Linked DNA regions of Ovis aries. The protein of the gene in region 3 purifies or fractionates together with the protein of the main gene of each other region. This does not show direct contact. Links are inferred from orthologs where the notes say so. Each region holds a gene or a part of one and is shown on either strand. Other genes may lie near its edges.

Region 1 (3,680 bases), on a different chromosome or scaffold from region 3:
GTAGGGGCAATGAGATGGGAGATGGGGTAAAGGCAGTGTACCCAACTTGCTTGGGTGCAGGGGTGGGGAGAGGGCTGGAGTTGGCCAGGTTTGCCAAAGTTAAGTTTGGTAAGATTGATGGAGATGGAAGGTAGAGGGAAGTTGGGACGGGTTAGAAAACGCTGGGGGTGTTAACAGAAAGAGGAAAGATAAGCCGTGTAGACAGAGTCACTCAAGACCAGGCTCCACTGCAAAGCATTCACTCAAACGTCACTTAGGTGCCCCTGTGTCAGGCACGGATTTGGTCATCGGTGTTACAGTGATGAAGGTGACAGAGGGCCCTCAGGTGGGCGTGAGTGAGGCGTGTGAAAGGAGCAGACGTGAGGGCCAGTGTGGCTGAAGCAGGGGAACCAAGGAGCAGCAAAGTAGAGCCCATGGCCAGCTGGTCAGGCAGGGCCCGAATCTTGCAGGGCTCTGCAGGCCGTGATTAGGGATTTCGGTTTTATTCCGAGCGCGGCAAAATGACGTTCCATTCATTCTGCAACAGTCTTAGGAACTAAGCGGCCTTATCCCAGTTTTACTGACGAGGACGATCAGGGTGGGGTTAGGTAATTTGTTCACGGTCAGTTGCAGGCGAAAAGGGGCTACAAACACCAGCCGGATCTCCCTGCCCCGGGCCTTCCCCGCAAGGCCCGAGTCTTCCCCGCAAGGCCAAGTAGGAACGGCCCGGAGTGGCCCAGGGTGCGGGCAGGCGTGCGCCTCGGCGACAACGCGCATGCGCCGCTGCCTACGGAAGCCGGGAGGGAGGGGGCGGGGCCGACGCTGGCGGGCGCGGGGGAAATGGCGGCGACGGCGGCAGCGGCGAACGGGACTGGAGGGAGCAGCGGGATGGAGGTGGATGCTGCAGGTAACGGGCCGTGCGGGGGCGGCTTCTGGAGACTTCCTGGCGGGCCTGTCGAGGCCTTCCTAGAGTCCCGGGAGCAGTCGGGATGGCGAGCCGGCAGCGAGCTCCCTGGGTTAACTTGCGGGAGGGATGGATGGCCCGACTTTGCCGTCTCCCGTTCCCGGCTCCCGGGAGGAACGTGGGGCCTGGACTCTCACCCCCTCTTTCCCCTCCTTAGTCGTCCCCAGCGTGATGGCCTCCGGAGTGACTGGCAGCGTTTCAGTCGCTCTTCATCCCCTCGTCATTCTCAACATCTCAGACCATTGGATTCGCATGCGCTCGCAGGAGGGGCGGCCTATGCAGGGTGAGTGTTCGGCGTCATTCTCCAGCCTCCTCCCCTCAAATAGTGGTCCTTTCTCCTTCCTTTGCTGAAGCTAGTTCCTCCTCCGCAAATCATTTCTCTAGTACTTGGTTCACGTGACCTCAGACCCTCAGGCTATTATTAGAGAAGTTTGAGGATTCCTTTAGTGTTAGTCGCTCAGTCTTTGTGACTCCATGGACTGTAGCCCACCAGGCTCCTCTGTCCTTGGAATTCTCCAGGCAAGAATGCTGGAGTGGGTTGCCATTCCCTTCTCCAGGGGAATCTTCCTTACCCAGGGATTGAACCCAGGTCTCCTGCATTGCAGGCGGATTCTGTACCATCTGAGCCACCAGGGAAGTCCTGGAGGAGTCCTCACCCTCACCTCTTCTGTGTCCTTTTCTCCTCCAGTTATTGGGGCTCTGATCGGGAAGCAGGAGGGCCGAAATATTGAGGTGATGAACTCCTTTGAACTGCTGTCCCACACCGTGGAAGAGAAGATTATCATTGACAAGGAATATTATTACACCAAGGAGGAGCAGTGTGAGAGGGGAATAGACGTGGGGGAGAAGAGTGGGAGTAGGGGAGAAAAGAATGGGGAAGATGGAGAGGGTTGGGGAAAAAATAAACAGAGAAATAGGACCAGAGTAGAGGAATAATGAAGAGAGAGTAGCTGAAGAGACCTTAGAAAAAGAACACATATGGGTTATTCCTCGCAAAGAAAGCAAGGAGTGAGAAAAGACAGAATAGATTAGTTGTTCTACGTGGAGCCAGGATGGGAAGGGGAGAAGCTGGTAAAAACACACCAGGAGTTTCAAATTGAAGGATGATTTAAAGATATACTGTGTGTCCTGGCCCCTTTCTCTCCAGTTAAACAGGTATTCAAGGAGCTGGAGTTTCTGGGTTGGTACACCACAGGTGGGCCACCTGACCCCTCCGACATCCACGTCCATAAGCAGGTATACACGTTCACACAGGTACATATTGGGGTGGAGACGAGAGAATGAGGGGAAGGAAGATGGACCCTGACACACATGTGCATCCTCCCTTCTTCCAGGTGTGCGAGATAATTGAGAGCCCTCTGTTTCTTAAGTTGAACCCTATGACCAAGCACACAGATGTGAGTACAGTGACCCCGTGCCCACTTTGTCCTGCCTGCCTGTCGCTCTGCCCCTGCTTTTATTGTATGACATCTCTGTTGAATCTTTTTGCAGTTTACCATCTGTGAGACTTGTCATTTAACCTTTAAACTGCATTTTCCCCGCATGTGAAAATGGGAATGAGTTCCACTTCAGTAGGTCCTTGGGAAGATTAGCTGAGGAAATGTAATGTGAAAAGGGCCCAGTCCGGTTTTGGTGCTTAGTGTAGGTTCAGGTGTCTGATGTTTAGTTAAGAGCTGTGCTCTCTCTTCTTCACAGCTTCCGGTCAGCGTTTTTGAGTCAGTCATAGATATAATCAATGGAGAGGTAGGTAATGCCCTACCCTTCAACCCACACAGCCTGCCCCTGGGGTCTGCTGCTTTTGACTCTGTGTGTCCCATAGGCCACCATGCTGTTTGCTGAGCTGACCTACACTCTGGCCACAGAGGAAGCAGAACGCATTGGGGTGGACCACGTGGCCCGAATGACAGCAACAGGCAGTGGAGAGAACTCCACTGGTAAGGGTGGCTGCAGGGGCTTCCTTAGAAGTGGGGGGAAGGTGTGGCCACACACCTTCTCAACTTCAGCCTGACCACCCCCCCAGTGGCTGAACACCTCATCGCACAGCACAGCGCCATCAAGATGCTGCACAGCCGCGTCAAGCTCATCTTGGAGTACGTCAAGGCCTCTGAGGCAGGTAGGACAGTTATCTCCCTGGTCCCTGAAGCACGTTTGCTCTCCCTCCTGGGGAAGTGACAGCATCCGCATTGATGCAGCTTCTTGTGCCTTCAGGCGAGGTCCCCTTTAACCATGAGATCCTGCGGGAGGCCTACGCTCTGTGTCACTGCCTCCCGGTACTCAGCACAGACAAGTTCAAGACAGACTTCTACGATGTGAGTGCAAGGCTCAGGATGGGGAGGTGGGGCTCCTGCTGTCTTCTGCATGCAGGATATGACCGGCTCCTGTTCCCTGGTCACATGGTGGGGGACCCAGAGCTCCTGGGAAACTTTGTTTTTTTTCTGTCCCCTCACAGCAATGCAATGATGTGGGGCTCATGGCCTACCTTGGCACTATCACCAAGACGTGCAACACCATGAACCAGTTCGTGAACAAGTTCAACGTCCTCTATGACCGACAAGGCATCGGCAGGCGGATGCGGGGGCTCTTTTTCTGACGAAAGGGTACTTGAAGGGCTGACGTACAGGGGTCAGACAGCTGTCAAGGGGAGGGGTGCTACACTCCCTTGAGAGAAACCTGTCACTAATAAAAGGGGAGCAGCCCCCAGCACCCCTTCTAGTGGCTCTGTTCTCTCCTGTGGGCA
Region 2 (3,648 bases), on a different chromosome or scaffold from region 3:
TCGGAGGCACAGCCTGGGACCCCAAGGCTACGTGACAGGAGCTTCTGCTTCACAGTCCACTGAGACGCAATGGGGTGGAGGGGTGGGCGGGCCAGAGGCGCCGGCTCCGTGAGGCACCGGCTCCGTGAGGCACCTACGTGCAGCAGTGGCGCATGTGGAAGTTGACGACATACTCGGCATTAGTCCTCTGCACGGAGATGGCAAAAGGCTCGAAAGGGTGGAAGGTGAAGGCAACGAGGCGTCGCACCGTGTGGTTGATGGGGCGGCCCAGTAAGCCCGCCTGAATCTCAAACTTGAGCAGACCAGAGTCCCGGGCGTAGAACCTAAACAGAACAAGGAGAGGAGAGCGTGGGACAGACATTCACCACCACCTTAAAACCTGAATAGCAGGAAACTCATGAATTAACCTCACCGATGAAATCTCCTCTAACGTCAGCCCCCAGTCAAAATCGCCTATGTCTGATCAGCTCATTTTACGAGCAGGGAGATTATGAACTTCACTATGCTGGCCCGAATCACTGGGTCATTTGTCTTTCCCAAGATGACCCTTAGTGATGGCCTTGATTACGGCCTCCCTTTTTCTAGCAGCTATCTGCCCAGCTACCTACCCGCCTAGGCCAGGGCTGGAAATGATAATGTAAGCCAAGTAGGCATGCTTAAATGTTCAGGCAGCCACATCAAACAAAGTAAGAAGGAAAAAGTGAAATTAATTTTAATAATATTTTAGTTAACCTAACATCGGCATCTAAAATACTATCATTTCAACCAATAATATAAAAGATACTCAAGAGATATTTCATTTTTATGTACTAAGTCTTTGAAATCTGGTGTGTACTTCACACTTGAGCACATCTCATGTTAGTGCTCACCAGCCATGGGAGGCTGGTGGTTACTAGAGGACAGTGCAGATCTAGGCCTATATCTTGAGTTCTTCTTTCCTCTTTTTAAAATTTATTTTATGTATAAAAAAAATTATTTTTTGGCTGTGCTGGGTCTTTGTTGCTGTGCACAGGCTTTCTCTAGTTGTGGCGAGCAGGGGCTATTCTCTAGTTGCAGTGTGAGGGTTTCTCATTGCAGTAGCTTCTCTTGCTGAGGAGCATGGGCTCTAGAGCTCAGGCTTTGGCAGTAGAGGTAAGTGGGCTCAGTAACTGCAGTGCAATCTTAACCTCTGGACCACCAGGGAAGTCCTGAGTTTTTAACTGTTAAGAAATTCTTTTGGAAGGTTCTTTTGCACACACAAAAACAAAATACTAACTAGTTTCTACTTTTTCATCTAACATGGTAAGAACAAAGATGCTTCCATTCATCCCAGGACTTAAATGCCTTTTGCCCATATGCAAAGCAAGTGCCCTGTGAACTTGGGAACTAGAGATGACTGGCAGGGTTGGGGCTGAATTGGAGGAAGCTCAAGAAAACAAGGAGCTCTGAAATAAAGAGCTCTACAATGCATTTCCTTCTCGGAAAGGAAATATATAGGAGATACAAAGATATTCATATCCCTTGACTCAATAATCCAAGAGCTTATATCCTCGGAATTTAAGTGAAGTAAAGAGTGACGTGAATCAAGATGGCTACTAAAGCATTTTGGGCTTCTCCAGTGGCTCAGTGGTAAAGAATCTGCCTGCCAATGCAGAAGACATAAGGTTGGATCTCTGGGTTGGGAAGATCCCCTGGAGGAGGGCACGGCAACCTACTCCAGTATTCTTGCCTGGAGAATCCCACGGACAGAGGAGCCTGGTTGGCTATAGTCCACATGGTTGCAAAGAGTTGGACATGACTGAAGCAACTTAGCACGCACAGAGCATTAGCTCTAATGTAAAAATGCAGGTAGAGGATTAAATGCTCAGTAATAGGGGAACAGCTAAATAAATTATGCCACATCTATTTTATGGAATAATACACCATCATCAGGACTGTAACTTTAAGGACTATGTAACAATATGGAAAATATTTATTAAATAAAAGCAGGCTACAAGGTACTATGCCAACCGTAACTACAACTGCATAAATGTAAACACACACACTGGCAAAGGCTAGAATGGAATATATTTAATACAATAAAGGTGTCAGAGTAACGGCATTATCTCTTCAAATGACTTTAATATCCCTACATTTCTCATTTTAAATTAAAAAATAAATAAGAATTACAAGAAGTCAGGGTCAATGGCATTTCCAGATTTGTTACTTAAGTTTATCTTTTCAAATCAGAAAGGCAGGACAGTCAAAAGGGAGAGAAATGTTATCTCGGGCTACATGACAATGTCAAATGAACCCAATTATCCGCTTTTATGTGTGAAAACCTTCCCCTCACCCACATGGTCCCCAGCACACAAAGGGCTTATAATGTAAAGCTAGTTGTTGATCCTAAATCTAACGACCAGTTTACAGGAAATAGGGGGAAATGAGAACTGCCAGGGATGCAATGAGCAAAAATCCAGAATGTGGGGAATACTACCAGACAAACAACCTGGTTTCTTCAACCACTTCACTACAAAGAAAGTAACGGGAAGCAGAACTCACAAAATAAAAGACTTAGGAGGACAGCAACCAGAAAAAAACCATACAGACCTTCTTTAGGTCTTGACTGGAACAAACTATAAAAAGAATATATACAAAACAATAGGAAAACGTGAAAACTCACTTGATATCGGTGATCTTAATAAAGGTTTAATTTTCGTAAGATGGAATAATGGTATTGAGGTTATATTTTTTTTAAGTCCTTATCTTTTAGAAATTCATACTGAAATATCTACAAGTGAAATGCTATGATACCTGGGCTGTGAGAATCCAGGCTGGCAGGTGGGAGGGGAGCAGTGGTGGCAGAAAGAGAGGAGACAACACTGACAGCCGCGGAGGTGGGGTGATAGGGACAGGGAGGCTCATTGCACTCTTCCACTTCTACATGTTTAAAAATGTCCGTAATAAAAAAATTAACTGGTTCCCAGAACTCGATTACAATTTCCCAAAGGAAATATTACAAACAGTAAATAATCGCACAGAATATGTTACACAAGCCTATTTAATACACAACGAAGCTGGATTATGAAATACTAACTACCACTGTTTCTATGTGAAGAAGACTTTCCAGAAACTACCACTGTTTCTATGTGAAGAAGACCTTCCAGAACCCAGCTCACACCTCCCTTGAAATAACCCCACAGCGGAAGTGGTGCCAGCTCCTCTCTCTAGCATCTGTGAAAGCAAAAACAGAACCCAAGCTCCCAGCACGGAGGGACAGGGGGGTCTGTGAGCTGGACACCCGGGACAAAGGAACTGCAAGGTGCTAAGAGTAACACGGCAACCTGCGTTCCAACATTCTTCCAATGGAGGAAGCGTGAGTTTCTCCAAAACCTACTTGTTCCCCAAACTGTCTCTCCTTTCCATTAGGTAACAGGAGGGGATAAAATAATTTGAGCTGAGTAAAATGTAAGTCTCAATTATTTTTAAGTTTCATGTGAAATGGTATTAGGTCATTAAATTGAAAAGTATGGTTCTCTTCCCTGGCTACCTTAAAAAGAGAACAATACTTATCTGAATTGGATATTTTGAGGAGAGGCAAAGAGCAGAACTAATTCATTTTTGATACTAATGCCTAAATGATCAAAGTGAAAGTGGCTCAGCTGTGTCCAACTCCTTGCGACCCCATGG
Region 3 (3,748 bases):
AGCTAGTCAATTACAATTCATATTTACTTCAGAAAGGTCTACTATTAAATCAGCAAGATTACAACACTTGAGAGCCTGGAGGTGGGAGTGGGAGTGATAGGAAAAAGAAAAGGTTAAAAAATCAACATCCCCTTGCTTGAGACAAAATAGAGCATATTCCTGATTTCTACGCTAATGGTGAAAATACAAGCACGGGGAATCTAATTTTCTCAATACTAGTATTTAGTCGCAAGGCACTGATCTGGTCAATATTACTTTAGTTCATTCATTTGACTTCTCCACTTAATAAACATTGTAGCATTAGTTGCCAGTTAGGGTGTTGAAAAAGTCAGGCAGAGAAACCGAAACACACTCAATAGATTAAAAAGTAATTCAGCTCAATTACATTATGCAAAATTGCTGATTTTATATTTGCATCAATGCATTCACAATACTCTCAATCACATACCTCAAAAACTTGAACAAATTCTCCTAAAAGCTGCAGGTCAGTACTTTAAAACCCATTTCAGTGATTAAAAAAGATAGATGACTTACTACTAGAGTTACTACTTCTGTGTATACACAATATTTTTCACTTCCAAACCCTACCTTTGGAAAGAAATGCAGAGATCATAAATGGTTTTCTCCAACTACTGCTTCCATGAGTTTCAAGACTGTAGTATTCAACATTATAAATCTAACCAAAAGTCTTCTTGGAACATCAAAAGATCACTATTGCTACCTGAATTTCTAGGGACTAGATAATATGGCCTACTGAAGCATAAAAATAAAAATCCCAGCAGTGCCAAGATTCACTATGCACCTGAAATAAATAAACATTTTTAGAGTACAAATTTCTCACCTGTAAAATCCGGATCAATCATACCGACTGTCAATGTTATGAAGAATAACAGATCAGATACAACAGGCTGAGACAGACCTCAAAATACTGCACAGAAATACCTGGTGTATGCTTCAGCAGAAGGATACTAACCACCCCCGGAAAATGAACCCTCCACCCAAAAAGGACCTCCCTCCTCCTCATTGATTATGCATAAAACATTAGGCCACCTCTATACTGTTTAACATATTAGCATAAATAGAGCACGTGACCACTCAAGTGTCAAATCCTGAGTACGTGATCATGGATTTTGGCCCTGGTTACCTTTAAAGTTCTTGATCACTAACTTCTTAGCAGAGCCAGGCTTGCTGTTAGCAAAGCTAGAGACGGTGGTGGAAGATTTGGCCAGGCCGTTTGCGTGATGCACCGAAGCCACAGTAGAGATTAATATACTCTTATTTTTAAGTTGCTGCTGCTGAGATGTTGCAGCAGTTGGTGAAGATGAGGACGAGGACGAGGATTCCTCAGCCATCTTCGCATCAAACCCTACAAACTCCAGGTTTTCTTCAAAACGCAGCTTCTTCTGTATCGGTACGTGGCTGGGAGCAGTCACTGGGACCCCCAGGCACGAGAAGGACGAGGTTGAAGGGGATGCCGAATCCCTGGGTTGTAAAGGAGGAGTGGAAGAGGAGGAAGAGGTGGAATCAAAGTCTTCTCTCTCGTTACTACTGTTACTGCCGCTACTGCTGCTGCTGCTGTTTAACTTTCTCTTCTTGGCAGAGGTGGGCGGAGTGGTGCTGGTATTACCATCAGTGGCTGATCTGACCTCTTGAGCAGCAGCAGCAGCTGAGGGATTGGGGGAAGAAAAACCTGTTGGAAACATGAAAATAGCGGGGTCAACAGGCAGACGAGCATCAAAAACCTACGTTTATATGCCTGCGTGCGTGTAGGAGAGAAGGTGGCAATGCTAGAGGGGGAAGGGAATAAAGAGAGGAGAAACACAGAGGACGAGAAGGAAAGTGAAGGGGGGGCTCCACCCGGGGAATGGGAGGGTTTGGGAAGGAGGATAGGCTGACACCAGGAGTGAGCAGAACAAGGGGGGAGAGCGAATGAGGAGGCAGACAGGTAAACGGCCGTGCCGTCCCCCTCCCCTGCTTTTCAGTCTCTCTCCCCCCCTTTCTGCAGGAGCGACTCAGTAAGTCTGTGAGGCTGCAGCTCCTCCTCCTTTTCTCCCTCTCTCTGGGAGGGGAGATGCAGTGCTTGGGGGGAGGGGGGAGGGGGAGAGAACCGGAGCTTGTTATTGTCAATAGCACAGGAGGCTAAAGATGGCGCCACTTCCGGTCACGCGGCGCCGAGGGAGGAGCGGCGTCAGTCCGCGAAAAGGGGGGGGTGGAGAGCACCACTGCAGGCGCCCGGGGGGCGGGGGAGCTGGAGTGGGGGGAGGCGGTGGGAAAGGGGCCGCTGAGGCGCCGGAGACGCTCGCGCTTCTGCCCTCGCACTCGCTCTCCCTACCCCTCCCTCTCCAGTTCCCCTGCCTAGGCAGCACTCTCCTCCCCCGGCCCACCGATAACTCCCACCCTCTCCTAAAAGGTCCCGCGGGAAGCTTCGCACCGCAACGCCCTTACCGGAAGTGACTGGGCAGACACTTTTCATAGCGCCCAGATCCCGAAGCCCCCAGGTCTGCAGGACTTGGGGGGGGGAGGGAGAAGGGGGGGCAGAGAAGGGGAAAGGAAGGAGGGGGCGGGCCTTCGAGACACCTTCGGAGCTCCGGATTGGAGCTTCCAGAATGCGAGGCGGGCAGGGAGGGGTGGTGGCGGGAGCAGGAGCGGGAAGGAGTCTGCAGGGGAGGGAAGGTGGTGACGGTGAGGGGCGGGGTGAGCTAGCTGGGAAAATAAGAGGGAGGGAGGGAGTAAAAGTAAAGGAACGGAGAATAGAAACTTTGAAAGAGATAAAGGAATAAGGAGGGGTTGCAAGGCGAGAGGAGTAACTCGAAATGGAGGAAAACATAGTCATGCCATTATGCCTGATGCTAGGGAGGATGTCAAGATGTTAAGATAGGACAGGAAAAGGAAAAGAGCTTAGATACAAAGAAGATAAGTGAGTGTTTCATTCAGTTGAGCTATACATTGTTTCTCTTTCATGTCAAGGACAGCGCTGACTCAATACTGAGTTTTGATACTTTTCTCAGTAACATACATGCAAATCCTGTTACCTTCCTACCCTACCGGAAGCATTCTCTAAGATGGCTGGCTAGAGTTAAAAGGGTGCATTTTAAGGCCAAGAAACAGGAAGGTAACTAACACGTCCCTCTAGCACAATTCCTAGGGCCAATCCCAGCTCCAACTCCCATCAGCCATTAACCCGGTCGGTAATTTACAGACTAAACAAAGCCACTTCTTTTTACGAAATCCTGGTTCATGTTATTTCTCCAGACATTTTAAGAGAGCAATATCGGTAAAAGTCAATGTTTTCTACCAATATAGTACACAAGCCCAAAATTTAAAACATTAATCCTAAAAACAAACCTTTAAATTTGGTTATATTAACAACAATAAGCCACGTAAATCCCTTGTTGGGAGTTTTTCTTTAACCCGAGGGTATTGGGGAAGGGGAAGTAGGAGAACCTGGCAAACAAAACTAAATTTCCCAACCTGTTGCTCTTCCTAACCACAGAAACATTCAAGGAGCATGTACCGAAACACTTCGTATGCCAGACACAATACCAGGTCCTGTCACTGAGAAGCAGTGGGAGAAGAGTTTCAAAATTAAGTTTCTATAACAGTACTATAACCAACGTACAAAGTTCCGTGGGAACAGGTGAAAGACATTTGAGAGAAGTCTAGAATAGTTTGAGCTTCACAGAGGAATTGAAGTTTATGTTGGGTCTCAAAGAGGGAGCTGCCAAAAAGACGAGGGGAGAGGACTGAA

The links.
Region 1: the proteins of CUL4B (region 3) and COPS6 purify together in Homo sapiens (affinity purification with mass spectrometry; 8 studies listed by BioGRID and IntAct, counting the BioPlex papers as one, with this or other methods). This does not show direct contact. The link is inferred for Ovis aries from reciprocal best matches to the Homo sapiens genes CUL4B and COPS6.
Region 2: the proteins of CUL4B (region 3) and DET1 purify together in Homo sapiens (affinity purification with mass spectrometry; 3 studies listed by BioGRID and IntAct, counting the BioPlex papers as one, with this or other methods). This does not show direct contact. The link is inferred for Ovis aries from reciprocal best matches to the Homo sapiens genes CUL4B and DET1.

What each region holds. Positions count from the first base shown.
Region 1 is NC_056077.1:36,794,507-36,798,186, reverse strand, and holds COPS6 (COP9 signalosome complex subunit 6), read left to right. Parts: upstream 1-806; 5' UTR 807-819; coding exon 820-886; intron 887-1,100; coding exon 1,101-1,226; intron 1,227-1,631; coding exon 1,632-1,763; intron 1,764-2,090; coding exon 2,091-2,179; intron 2,180-2,277; coding exon 2,278-2,340; intron 2,341-2,638; coding exon 2,639-2,686; intron 2,687-2,762; coding exon 2,763-2,877; intron 2,878-2,963; coding exon 2,964-3,056; intron 3,057-3,151; coding exon 3,152-3,252; intron 3,253-3,392; coding exon 3,393-3,533; 3' UTR 3,534-3,649; downstream 3,650-3,680. UniProt on the Homo sapiens protein: Component of the COP9 signalosome complex (CSN), a complex involved in various cellular and developmental processes.
Region 2 is NC_056071.1:18,907,721-18,911,368, forward strand, and holds part of DET1 (DET1 homolog), read right to left. Parts: intron 324-3,648; coding exon 134-323; 3' UTR 1-133. UniProt on the Homo sapiens protein: Component of the E3 ubiquitin ligase DCX DET1-COP1 complex, which is required for ubiquitination and subsequent degradation of target proteins. The complex is involved in JUN ubiquitination and degradation.
Region 3 is NC_056080.1:104,888,497-104,892,244, forward strand, and holds the start of CUL4B (cullin-4B), read right to left. Parts: upstream 2,685-3,748; 5' UTR 2,474-2,684; coding exon 2,446-2,473; intron 1,691-2,445; coding exon 1,145-1,690; intron 981-1,144; exon of another isoform or gene 864-980; coding exon of another isoform or gene 842-863; intron 1-841.